2 linked regions of the Cricetulus griseus genome follow. The protein of the gene in region 1 binds, or shares a complex with, the protein of each later gene. Links are inferred from orthologs where the notes say so. Each region holds a gene or a part of one and is shown on either strand. Other genes may lie near its edges.

Evidence for each region. Proteins that work in one complex are often made in the same cells at the same time.
Region 2: the proteins of growth/differentiation factor 5 (region 1) and hemojuvelin are in contact, whole or in part, in a crystal structure (PDB 6Z3L), measured with the Homo sapiens proteins. The link is inferred for Cricetulus griseus from reciprocal best matches to the Homo sapiens genes GDF5 and HJV. Residues at the interface, in NP_000548.2 of Homo sapiens: Met412, Trp414, Trp417, Phe478, Asp480, Ser481, Lys488, Tyr490, Met493; in NP_001366281.1 of Homo sapiens: Arg95, Arg98, Gly99, Leu101, His104, Ser105, His108.

The regions. Positions count from the first base shown.
Region 1 is NC_048599.1:23,651,419-23,657,086, reverse strand, and holds the start of growth/differentiation factor 5, read right to left. Parts: upstream 3,563-5,668; 5' UTR 3,203-3,562; coding exon 2,590-3,202; intron 597-2,589; coding exon 1-596. UniProt on the Homo sapiens protein: Growth factor involved in bone and cartilage formation. During cartilage development regulates differentiation of chondrogenic tissue through two pathways.
Region 2 is NW_023276806.1:59,965,645-59,971,386, forward strand, and holds hemojuvelin, read right to left. Parts: upstream 3,853-5,742; coding exon 3,756-3,852; intron 3,355-3,755; coding exon 2,807-3,354; intron 2,318-2,806; coding exon 1,694-2,317; 3' UTR 1,540-1,693; downstream 1-1,539. UniProt on the Homo sapiens protein: Acts as a bone morphogenetic protein (BMP) coreceptor. Through enhancement of BMP signaling regulates hepcidin (HAMP) expression and regulates iron homeostasis.

The DNA of each region.
Region 1 (5,668 bases):
GAAGTTGACATGCAAAGCTTTGCGACTGCAGCGAGCCTTGAGGTTCTTGCTCGGTCGCTTGCCCTGGCGATTGGCCAGTGGGGCCCGCCGTTTCCGCCGCTGGCTGAACAGGTATTCATACACAGTCTTGTCATCCTGGCCAGAGCGGGCCTTAATCTCATTAAAGAACAGGTCCCGTTTCTTAGTACGACCAAACACCAGGAACAGGGCCTTCTCGTGGACTTGTCGGGCAGCGCGTTCAAAGCCCAGGCCGCGGAGGTCCACAGCCCGGCCCCGTTCCCAGGCCTCCAGCTCCAGGCACAGCTGTGCTGAGTTCTTAAAATTTCGGAAGAGTTTCCAGATGTCGAACACCTCCCAGCCAGATCCATCCAGGCCTGGCACGGAGCGCACATCCAGCAAGGCTGCCGGCTGCCGGCCGCTGGGGCAGCTGGACAGCTTCAGCTGGGCAACCCGCCCGCTACTGGGGACCGCTGGCTTGGCCATGTCCAAGGGCTTCTTCCGTAGGATCCGCAGTTCAGCCCCCAACAGCCCATCCTTCTCCAGAGCACTGATGTCAAACACGTACCTCTGCTTCCTGACCACAGGGCCTCGGTCATCTGGAGAAAACAGCCGGAAGTCAATTCTTGTCACTTCACCAAGATAGTCTAGCCTGCCACCTCGGAGCCTCCAGGGAGGACCTAACTCTCTCCCACTCAAAAGACATTCCTTTAACCTCTTCCCCACTATGGCCAAAGCCAACACCCAAACCACCAAGAGCCCTTTTCCAAATGAAGGTAGGTGTGCCACTTTGCACGATCTCAGTGCCCTCGCCATTCGTGATCTGTATGAGAGCCATCAAACAGTATACCGGTGTCCGCCCCACCCATGAGCACATTATTATCTCCCATACGTAAGACAGGTGATATGTGCATTTAAACTACCCACTCTTCCAGAGGAGGAACCTGCCGCTCAGAGTAAGTTAGGGGACTCATTCAATGTCCTCTACCTGGGGGAAAGTAGAAATAGAACTGTAGCCTAGAACTTCAATACTCCTTTCGAGCTTCCTCCACCTGAAGGACCTTAGCGTTTTTGTTCTGGGCAAGGCACAGAGTTGGGGAGTAAATTGATGTAGGTAACACAGCAGATTAATAACAAAGCCCATCTGCAACTCAACTTCCCTAGTTTCCAGTCTGACAATTTTGTGTCCATGAGTGTGGTTCGTGTGTGTGTGTGTGTGTGTGTGTGTGTGTGCGCGCGCGCGCGCGCGCGCATTCGCGTGTGCAATTGGGTTCCCGAGTGAGTATAAAGTAATATATATGCTATTGGCACATGCAAGTACAGTTGGGCTTCAATGAGTACTTGAAAAATGATGATATATGTATGTATGCATGTTTGTGATTCGTTTACCATGTGTATAAAATACAAGGCTCTGTGTGTGTGTGTGTGTGTGTGTGTGTGTGTGTGTGTGTGTGTGTAGCTCAGTGATTATCTCTGAATCAGCATGCCCTCCTTCCTAAATGCCAATATGCCATTAGGGAATATTCAAATATTGCTCTAGAAGGTAACTAATTAGGCCTTTAAACTCTCCATCTCCCCCTCCCCAAGCTCCCTTAGTGCTGGGGGGGACACAAGGACTTATTTTATGAGCCCTAGAGGGGTCACAGCTTTCCTTGGCTGGGCACGACGCCAGGCCACCTCCCCCACCTCTGCCAGACCTGCTGCCTCTGTACCTCCCCCACGCCCTGTCATTCCCCTACAGACCAGCTCTAATGAGGAGGCTCTCCCACTCTCTGGCCCCTCCCCCACCCTGCCCGCCAAAGTCCCAAGACTGTGAACCTGAGACTGAACTGCAAGACACCTCACCAACTGCCAGCGGTCCAGCCAGCTCCGCACTGTGGCGAACCTGAGGCTCTGAGAAGGGAAGGGATTTGCTGGGAACACACAGCAAGTTGAGAGCAAGAGCTGAGCCAGTAACACTAGGTGGGCAGACCTCCAGAGAAGCAGGGAAGACAAGTATTCTCCCAGGTTAGAGGAGAGCCATATGGGTTAGGATAGGACTCAAGGCTTTGGCATTCAAAGTGCTCAGACTTCACCTAGTCCAAGGCGCATGTAGTACACACACAGGAAAACAGACCCCAGGGAAGAAGGGACTTCTAGGGTCACAGTGTGAGTTAGTCCCTAGGTCAGCTGCGACTCCAAGACGACATGCTTTTGGTCTTCCCAAATCCTACCCCTTCGCCCCCTCCCTGAGGTTAGAGCTGAAGACCCACAGGAACCTAAAGTCTCTTTCTCTCTGCTATCTGAGGAAAAGCTGGGGCGTACAAACTTGAGCGTTGCAACCCCCACAAAAGTATGACCCAGTAATCAAGAGTGGACTTTGGAGTCTAGCATCCAGATCTGAGCTCCTCTCTGCACTTCAGTGCCCATTTTGCACCTCGCAGGAGTTTAACTTGGTGATCCCTAGGCGTCCCTAATCCTGGACCTGGTATGTGTAAGTTCCAGACTCCCACCCTAGCCTGGATATACACACTGTTCCCCACCTGCGAACTCCAGGACTTTGGAACTCCTGGGTCTGTGCAAATGCCCCTCCCTGCCACCCCACCCCCTCACCTTGCCCTTTGTCAATAAAGCTGGTGATGGTGTTGGCCAGGCCAGCCTCCAACTTCACGCTGCTGTTGCGTCCCTTTCTGTCAGCATCGGACAGCGTCCTGTACAGCGAGAGCATGTATTCATGGGGTGTGATGGGGGGTGGGCGGAACGGCTCCTTGGGTTCTCGAGGGGTCCCAGGATCCCTGGTCTTCTTCAGCAGGAAGGAGCTGGGGGCAGATCCTGCTTTTGAGGAGGCTTTGCCCCCAGGAAGCTGTCCTTTTGGGGATACGGTCCGTGCTGCAGCCTGCCTAGTCTGGGAAGGGGGTCCTGGCTTGGTTTCAGGCCCACCGGATCTGGGGGGTATCTTTCTGGGTTCATCCTTCTTAGCCTGTGTCTGCCCAGAGCTTCCCTTTGCCCTAGCATTGGTGGGTCCCCCACCATAGCTATGACCCCCTGGCCTAAAGATGTTCCGGGCCAGGGGTGGCCTCTCCTTGGCCTCTGCTTTGGCCAACCCTGGCCTGGCCCCTGGGGGTCTCTGGCCTAAGTCGGGGGCACCCAACACAGTGCGGATAAATTCCAGGTCCAGCCAAGCCAGGTGCCAAAGCAAAAAAGTGAGGAGTTTGGGGAGTCTCATCCTCTGGCCAGCCGCTGACTGACACCACAGAGAAAGGCAGCGGCAGCGAAGGTGTCTCTGGCTTGGCAGGAAAAACCATGAAAGGAGTGGGTCTTCAGGAGCAGCGGCGGCGGCAGCAGTAGCAGCAGCAGGCAGGGCTTTCTCCTCAGTCTGAGCGCCTTGAAGTCCGCCGGGCGTGTGTCTGTATCCAGTCCCATAGTGGAAATGCTCCCGTGTCCAGACGTGCACCGTCTCCAGTCAGCAGCTGAAAATAACTCGTTCTTGAAAGGAGAAAGCCGACCGCCCCCTTTCTCCCGCACAACTGACTGAGGGCTTGAAGGAGGCTTGTATAAGGCTGAGGGATTTTTCCAAGAAGGAAGAATGGCGTAATGCTGCCTGAGCGCTCCAGTTTTTTTTTTTTTTTTCCCTCTAATTTTGAATCCTTTCCAGTGAAAATACTTACACACACACACACACACACACACACACACACACACACACACACACACACAAACCTGCAGGTGCTCAGAAAAATCTTTTACAAACCTGAACTCAGGAATTGGAAACGGAATTCCAACCCAAACCAATTTAATTACTCTCTGATGTCATGCTGTCTAAATTCATTTAAGTGCGATATATTTATGTGAAAAAAATCACCACTGCCCTTTAGAGGCCACGACTCACGGGGGCTCTTGGCTCAGAGCCCCACAGCGGGACTCAGGCTTAGGGGGCCTCCCAACCCCAGAACAGACTTAGGGGTCTTCACCTCCACCCGCTGGAGCAGCCCACCCCACCATCCTGAGCAGAGATGCTGAGGAATGAGTTGCAAAGACCTGCAGGCACTAGGTATGCGAGTTAGGTTTTTCAGTGAAGTCCGAGGAGTGTCTATAAAACAGTTTCAATCCCTCTGTCTAGTCTGGGACCTGGTGTGTGCGTGCGTGTGTGTGTGTGTGTGTGTGTGTGTGTGTGTGTGTGTGTGTGTGTGTGTGTGTGTGTGTGTGTTGGGGGGGCAGCACAGATGGCAGCATTTACCCACAGTTTCTTTTATTTTAATAAACTTGTGACCCAGAAACAGAAAAAAAAAAATAGTGCCCATTATACCACCCCCACCAAATGCCATTCGCTAAGCACTGCCATCCTGTAGCCCCCTTGGTTGAAAACAGGTCCAGAGTGAGTGTACACAGGCAAAGACCGCCAGTTTTCTTAGAAGAAATTGGCTGGGGCCAGAGGTAGCAGCCCCTGCCTAAGGCAGCAGCGACCCCTGCAGGAAGTTGGAAGAGAAAGTTCTCATGGACTACTTGTGTAATAGCTGGTGGAGAAAGCTGAATTCCTGCTCAACTCAAGAGTGCCCCTCGCCTTCCTTTTCTTCTTCTTCTTTAGACAAGGTCTCATGTAGCCCAACCTGGCCTCAAGTTCACTATGTACCCAAGGCTAGCCTTGAGCTCCTGATCCTACACCTACCAGAGCCTGAGATGACAGATATGTGGCACCACCTAGCTACAAGGGTTTCCTAAAATGCCTTGCTAAAGTATTTAAACACCCTTTCTTTGGAGATTCCGTGTTATAGAGCCCTGGGAAACTTACTCAGGGTCAAGGAGAAGGGGGAGTGAAACCCCAGGCCTCCCTCAAGTGTGATAGGCAAACACTACCGCAGAGCTCCACCCCTAGTCCAGAGTCTCTTCCCTTTTCTTGAGACAGTCTCCTGTGGCGAAAGCTGGCCTTGGACTTGCAATATTAGCTGAGGCTGCCCTGGAAGTCCTGATCCTCCTACACCCACCTCCTTGGTTACAGCGTGGGATTATGGAACTGTACCACCTGCCCTAGCCTTCCTTTATTAATCCTCAAATCTTGCAGCTGACCTAACAGATCCATTCACACGCTAAAGTTGGTTTCTAGAGACTCTCTGCTGGAGTCTAGGCATGTAACTCAGTAGTCTCGTGCATGGTTAGCATGCACAGAGCCCTCACCAAGACAACCCCAAACAAAGTCCTCACTCCGGATAGCTAAGTGGCTGCAAGTCTATTTTCTTTTTTAAATATTTTACTTTGTTTATGTGTATGTGTGGGAAGAGGGTGCCACAGGAGACCAGAAAAGGGTATTAAGTCCCTTGAAGCTGGAGTGGCAGGCAGCTGTGTGCCACCCTGACATGGGTGCCGGGAGCAGAATTCTGTCCTTCCCCAAGCAGAAAGTACTCTTTTTCATAATGTTGTTCCTGGTTCACTTACTCAGCCACTCCAAGTTTCATTGATAGCTCCAGGTCTGAAGCCTGGACTTCCAAGGACCAAGGCACCACCTGCTTTCTTCAGCGAGCTTGGAGGATGGCTTGAACTCATTACAGTCCCTCAAGTCATCCAGGCCCAGCACTCTTGTCTTTGCTTCTGACTTCTCTTCTTACTGTCCTCTCTGGCATCTTCCTCCTACAGTCTCTGTCACTATCCTGACCCTTCTCACGCTTTTACCTGCCACATTTCCCTTAGAACTGACTTC
Region 2 (5,742 bases), on another chromosome or scaffold:
GTTGCTCTTTAAGGGAGAACTCCGATACAATGAGCAATTTTGTATGAACATATTGGCGGGGCTGGGGACGCAGCTCAGTTGGTAGCATAATTGTCTGGCATACACGAAGTCCGGAGTTCAGTCCCTAGCACTGGATAAGCTGTGTGGTGGTGCAGGCTTGTAGTCCCCAAACTTGGGAGATGGAAGCAGGAGCATCAGCCTTGTCTACACAGCAAGTTTCGGCCCAGCTCTGCCTATTTAAGACCCTGTAAAAAAGAAAACTAAATAAAATGACATTAAAATGCCCATACTGGGGGTGGGGAGTGGGGTGGCGCACGCCTTTAATCCCAGTACTCAGGAGGCGGAGGCAGGTGGATCTCTGTGAGTTCGAGACCAGCCTGGTCTACAAGAGCTAGTTCCAGGACAGCCTTCAAGGCCAAGAGAAACTGCCTCAACCCCCCCAGAACAAAAATAAACACAAAACAAAACAAAAACAACAACAAAAAATGCCCTACTGTAAGTTAAGTTACAACAGTGGGCAAAGTACACACACACACACACACACACACACACACAATGTAAATAGTAAGAACTGAAAAGTGTAGCCAGTTAGTGGTGGCACACGCCTTTACTCGCAGCAGAGACAGATCTCTGTGAGTTCAAGGCCAGCCTGGTCTACAGAGCAAGTTCTAGGACAGACTCTAAAGCTACACAGAAAAACCCTGTCTGAAAAAAACAAAAACAGAAAAAAAGAAGGTGGTGGTGGTGGTTGTTTTCTGGAGAGATGGCTCAGTGGTTAAGAGCACGGGCTCTCTTCCAGTGGTCCTGAGTTCAATCCCAGCTTACACATGGTGGTTCACAACCATCCTTAATAAGATCTGGTGCCCTCTTCTGGCTTGCTTGCACTTAGAGACATAAGAACAGTAGAGATAGTCAGACCAGCAGTTCAAGGGTAGTCTGGAGAGGCTCCATTAAAAATAAAAGCAAATGATAATTAATAATAAAAATAATCATGATTCCTTCCTGTGAACCAGTTTTGTCTAATAGCCTGGGGACTCCAAAAGGGCAGATAGGATAGCTGATAACTCTGAGATATCTTTCATTGTCCGAATTCCAGGTCACACATCCGTAAAGGGACTCAACACAGGTGACAGAGGACAGTGTGGAGAATTCATAGCTTTAATAACAGATCGGTAAGGGGTGGGGATGCCAGTTTCTATATTGGTACTAGTCTCCAAAAGCTGACTTCCTTTGTCTAAGAGCTAGACAATGCCCGCTTAATTTCTGAACCCCAAAACTTAATTATTTTCTTCTCTTCGGACTTTCTTAAAGATAATCACATCTTCCTATTTTTAGTTCTTGCCTTTAAGAAATCCCAGCCCTTTAATGATTTGCTGCTCACAAGCACTCTCACAATCTCTAGATTTGTAGGAGTGATATCAGGTATGTGTGGAGTGGAGTAATGAGCTTTCTACCCATGGGACTGCGGAAACTCACGGTGAAGAGCTCCTACCACGGTCTGGAATGCAAAACCCAGAATTCTTCTTCTAGGATCAAGGCGTCCCTGACTGTAGCCCCATCTGGTTCTGGGTGAGTGTCATTGTCTCCGCTATCTCCCTGTCCCCACTGCTTCCTCTGGTCCATCTTAATGTTTTCTCACGCCAACCTCTACCCTCAAATCAGTCCCAAACTAGTCACAGGGTTGCTGGCCTACTTACTGAACGCAAAGCCACAGAACAAAGAGGCCTGAAAGAAGCTGGACTAGAAAGGTAGCTGGGGAGAGAGGAGGCCCTGCATCTGAGGGGAAAAGATGCAATTTCTCTAAATCCGGCAAGAAGACTCGGGCATCGTCCAGAGCTGTCTGAGCTGCCACAGTAAAGTTAGGGTCACCAGAGACTGAAACATCAAAGACGCAAGATTGGAAGTAGGCGTCTTCCACGGGAAGCCCTTCCTTACACAGCCTTCTGGCAGTGTCGATGGCTATAGCCCCTCGGCGACTGCGCTCTGAGCGAGAGAGTCGCTGACTGGGAGGGCAGCCGCCAACACACAGCTGTAGGTCCTGCTCAGCGGAGAAGGCCCGCGCCACGTCCTCGGCTACCCTGATGGAGAAGGAGAGCTGTCCAGCTGTCTGTCGAATGATTATAGTTGTCCCAATATAGGCAGCTCGGATCTCCACGTGGCTCCCAGGGTTAGCAGTTTGAATGGACAAACTCGAGCCCCCAGGTCGGTCACCTCCATTGATAGAACCGTCTTCAAAGGCTGCAGGAAGATTGTCCACCTCGGCCTGGTAGACTTTCTGGTCAATGCATTCCTGCATGTTCTTAAATATGATGGTAATCTGTGCGGGCAAAGAGGAAAATAGTTTATTAGGACTCAGTTTATCTTTCCCTCAATCAAGCAGCTTTTATTGTTAGGGATCTGATCCCAGCAGACGCAGGGTGTCTCCACGGCCCTTGATCCGGTCCCCTATTGCCTTCCAGTAATACCTGACCCCTATCCAACCCCTCATTCCTTTTTTTTTTTTTTTTCTCAATCTCAGCCAGGAAAATAAAGTGTCCCTTCTGACTCCTCAGTTCTCATAGCCTGGCTGCCACCCCAGCTTCTTCCTCAGTGTTACCTGCATTTTAAATAAAATCCCCATCAAGAGGAACTGATCTACAGGGGCAAATGTTTGATAAGAGGCAGCCATTCAAGATGGGCGGGACTATTTGGGGAAGACAAGGAACCAGGAGCTTGGTGGCTGAGGAGTGAGAACAAGGAGTGGTGTGCCCGGTGGACCGGGAGAGGATTTCAGAAGGTGGATTAGGAGGGAAATTGAATCCCTGACCTTCCGGGTGGTGGTAGCGTTGGCCCCCGATGCCACGGGGGAGCTGGTGGCCTGAACAAAAAGGAAGTCGTTATCCAGAAGGGGCCAAGCTCCTTGGACGCGGCATGTGTGAAAGTGGTGGTAGAAGCTGCGCACGTGGGGATCCCCGAACGAGGCGCAATGCAAGAAGCCCGGGGCCCGACCGTGCAGCCGGGAAAACCGGGCCTCGTAGTCACAGGGGTCTGGGGTCGGGGGTGCTGGGCCAGCTCCGGGAAGGGCGGGGCCCCGGGCCGGGGGCGGGGCCGTGGGGCCCTGGCGAGAGCAGTTGTGCTGGATCATCAGGTCCTCGATGCCGTGCACCGCTGAGTGGAAGGCGAGGTCCCCGCGGCACGTGCGGGCTGTGCGCCGAGTGCAGAGCGCATAGGAGCGCAGGGCGCGACACAAGCCACCCGAGGCCAGCCCACCACGGCCGCCTCCACGCTGCGTACCCGGTGAGCCCCCTTCCCGAAGGCTCAGAGTGGACGAGACGTACTCGGCATTGCAGCGGAGGATCTTGCACTGGGAGTGAGCTGAGGACGGAAGGGAGAGGAGGACAGTGAGACGGTGCCCAGACGTAGGTTCTAGCCAAGTCCAGAACGCGCCTAATTGCCAAAAGGCATCCTCCATCCCAGCTCTTCCTAGCACCCAGAGTGGGCGCTTTCCCAGTCCCAACCTTCAGCCCCCTCCTCCTCGCCTCCTTCCCTCTTTTTCTCTACTAAAAAGCGTGTAATCCAGTCGGACCTTTCCCCCTTACGGTCCAAGGACTCCATATGTGTCCTTCCTCCAGTTAAACGGGGAAACAAGACAGGCCTCTTTCAGAGTGACTGGGATTCAGCACCCCTTCGCCCTCACTCACTGATGCTGGCATGCCCACCCCTACCCGGCAGCCTACCATCTAGAGGTGCCCAACCCTTCCCTAACCCTTCCTTACCCTGTCCACAGAGGAGCAGCAGTAGAATGAGGGTGCTTAGAGTTGGGGGACCGCCATGGGGGAACCAGGGACTAAGAGGCTGGCCTCGATCCCCCATACCTATCCAGCCAGATCCCCCCAGGCGCGGGTTCTTCCCAGCTGATGAACCTCCTACCTAGTGAATTTCGACAGGCAGTTCTGTGACTGGAAAAAGAAATTTGACTGGGTGTGGGGAAAGAGAAGGGTTGAAGACGGGTCAAGATGGTGTGGAGAGAATCTGGGGAGATCAAGACAACAATTATACAGACTGGAGCTTGGGAAGCAGGAGGCTTCCAGATGGTGAGCTTGGCTAGTGAGCCTCTGAGCCCTGCTCCTGTGGCCACCTTCAGGTCCCTTGTGCAATACCCCTAGGTGGGGGTGGAGGGAAGGTTGAATGACCTCCGTGGGCAGAGTCCACAGTATTGCCTCATCCTGACTACCAAATAGCAGATTTGTCAGAAATGGAGGGATTCCTGGGGAAAGTGAGTTCCTGATCATTTCAGCGGGTTCTCCTGAAGCCTTGGGATCTGAAAATGCTTTAAAAACATACCTTTTATATGTAACTCCCAATCACGAGAGGCCGGCCACCTGCCATGTCTTTTTCTTCATTGTGTTAGAAGGGCACAAAGGGTAAATATCTTAGACAAGTGCCTTCTAGAATGTCATTTTTCCAGTGAAAAGGGAATCAGTCTCTTAGCCACCCTAGACGACTGGCATTATGATCCCTCTCTCATCACATAGGATACAAACCAAGCATTTAAATTAATATTTTTTTTCCTGAAGAACAACTCTTTCTATTATCCCCCGTGCACCCCCTCCAGCCTTTGCAAATCCTGAAGTTCCTGGTCTTTTAAGGGGGGCAGGTATTGGGGAGGATCTCTCTCCCTTTCTCCTGCCAAAATCCACTCTTTGGAGTAAGTCTATATATAATTGGGCAAGAGTCCTGCAAGGGGTCTTGAGTTAGAGGCTGGGAGTGTAACTCAGTGATAGGTGAGTGTTTACCATGCTCAAGGGTTCAGTTCCCAGCATTATCCCCCAACTCCCACTCCAAAGTCTCAGTGTAATAAAGTGCAGAGGGAAATAAGGGCCGGAGAAGAGGCAGCATTAAACTCCAAGTAGACATGGCTTGGAAACCAAAACAATGAGGCAGGAAGAGTGGCGGTGGGGTATTGGTAAGGAGAAATCCTAGTTTTCAGAACAGATGTCTGTAATTTTATGAAATTCTAGCCTCAACCCAACGCTTATCAAAGCAATTTCAGTTTCATCTGGACTTACTGTTTCCCGAGGTCAAACATGACTCTGATACCCGACTCTCCAGCCATAGTTGCCTATGCTGTTGGTCTGCTCCAACCAGGGGTCCCCCGTCTCTTTCTCCATGTCTCTCCCAGTACCCCAGACTGGCTGTAATCTTACTGAGGTCAGAGAGCCAGAGAAGGTTTGGTGTGGAGAGAGGGGGAAGGGAGAGTAAATGGCTGGCCCCAGGACTCGACAGCTGAGAGGAGGAGGGAGGTGGCCACTGAGTTGACAGTTTTAAAAATAGCTAAGTCCAAAATTCCAGGAGCGTTGGTGGCAGTAGGGTGTGGGAGTGAAGGCAGTGAGGACGATAAGCAGAATGGATGAAATATGGAATGTTGGGTACCAAGTGAGGGAGAGAGTAAAGAAACATGACAGCCAAGTCAGATATCCAACTCCAGCTTGTGTGCTCTCTCTCTTCGTGGCCACTCTGCTCCTCCTGCATTCTCAGTAATGAGCTCCTGGCCTTTAAGAATGGCAGGGAGCTGTTGACTGTCTTTCATTTACTCTATACTGAGTATCCCATTGAGTTTCCACCGATGGTATGTGGTGGTGTCTGGCTTTGAAGGTGGACAGCAAGCCTCATTCATGGACCCTCCCTGTCTCTGCCGAGTATTTCAGGAGCTGAAAGGCTCAGCTGTCCGGAGGAGAAATCGGAGAACACAATTGTTTGGGA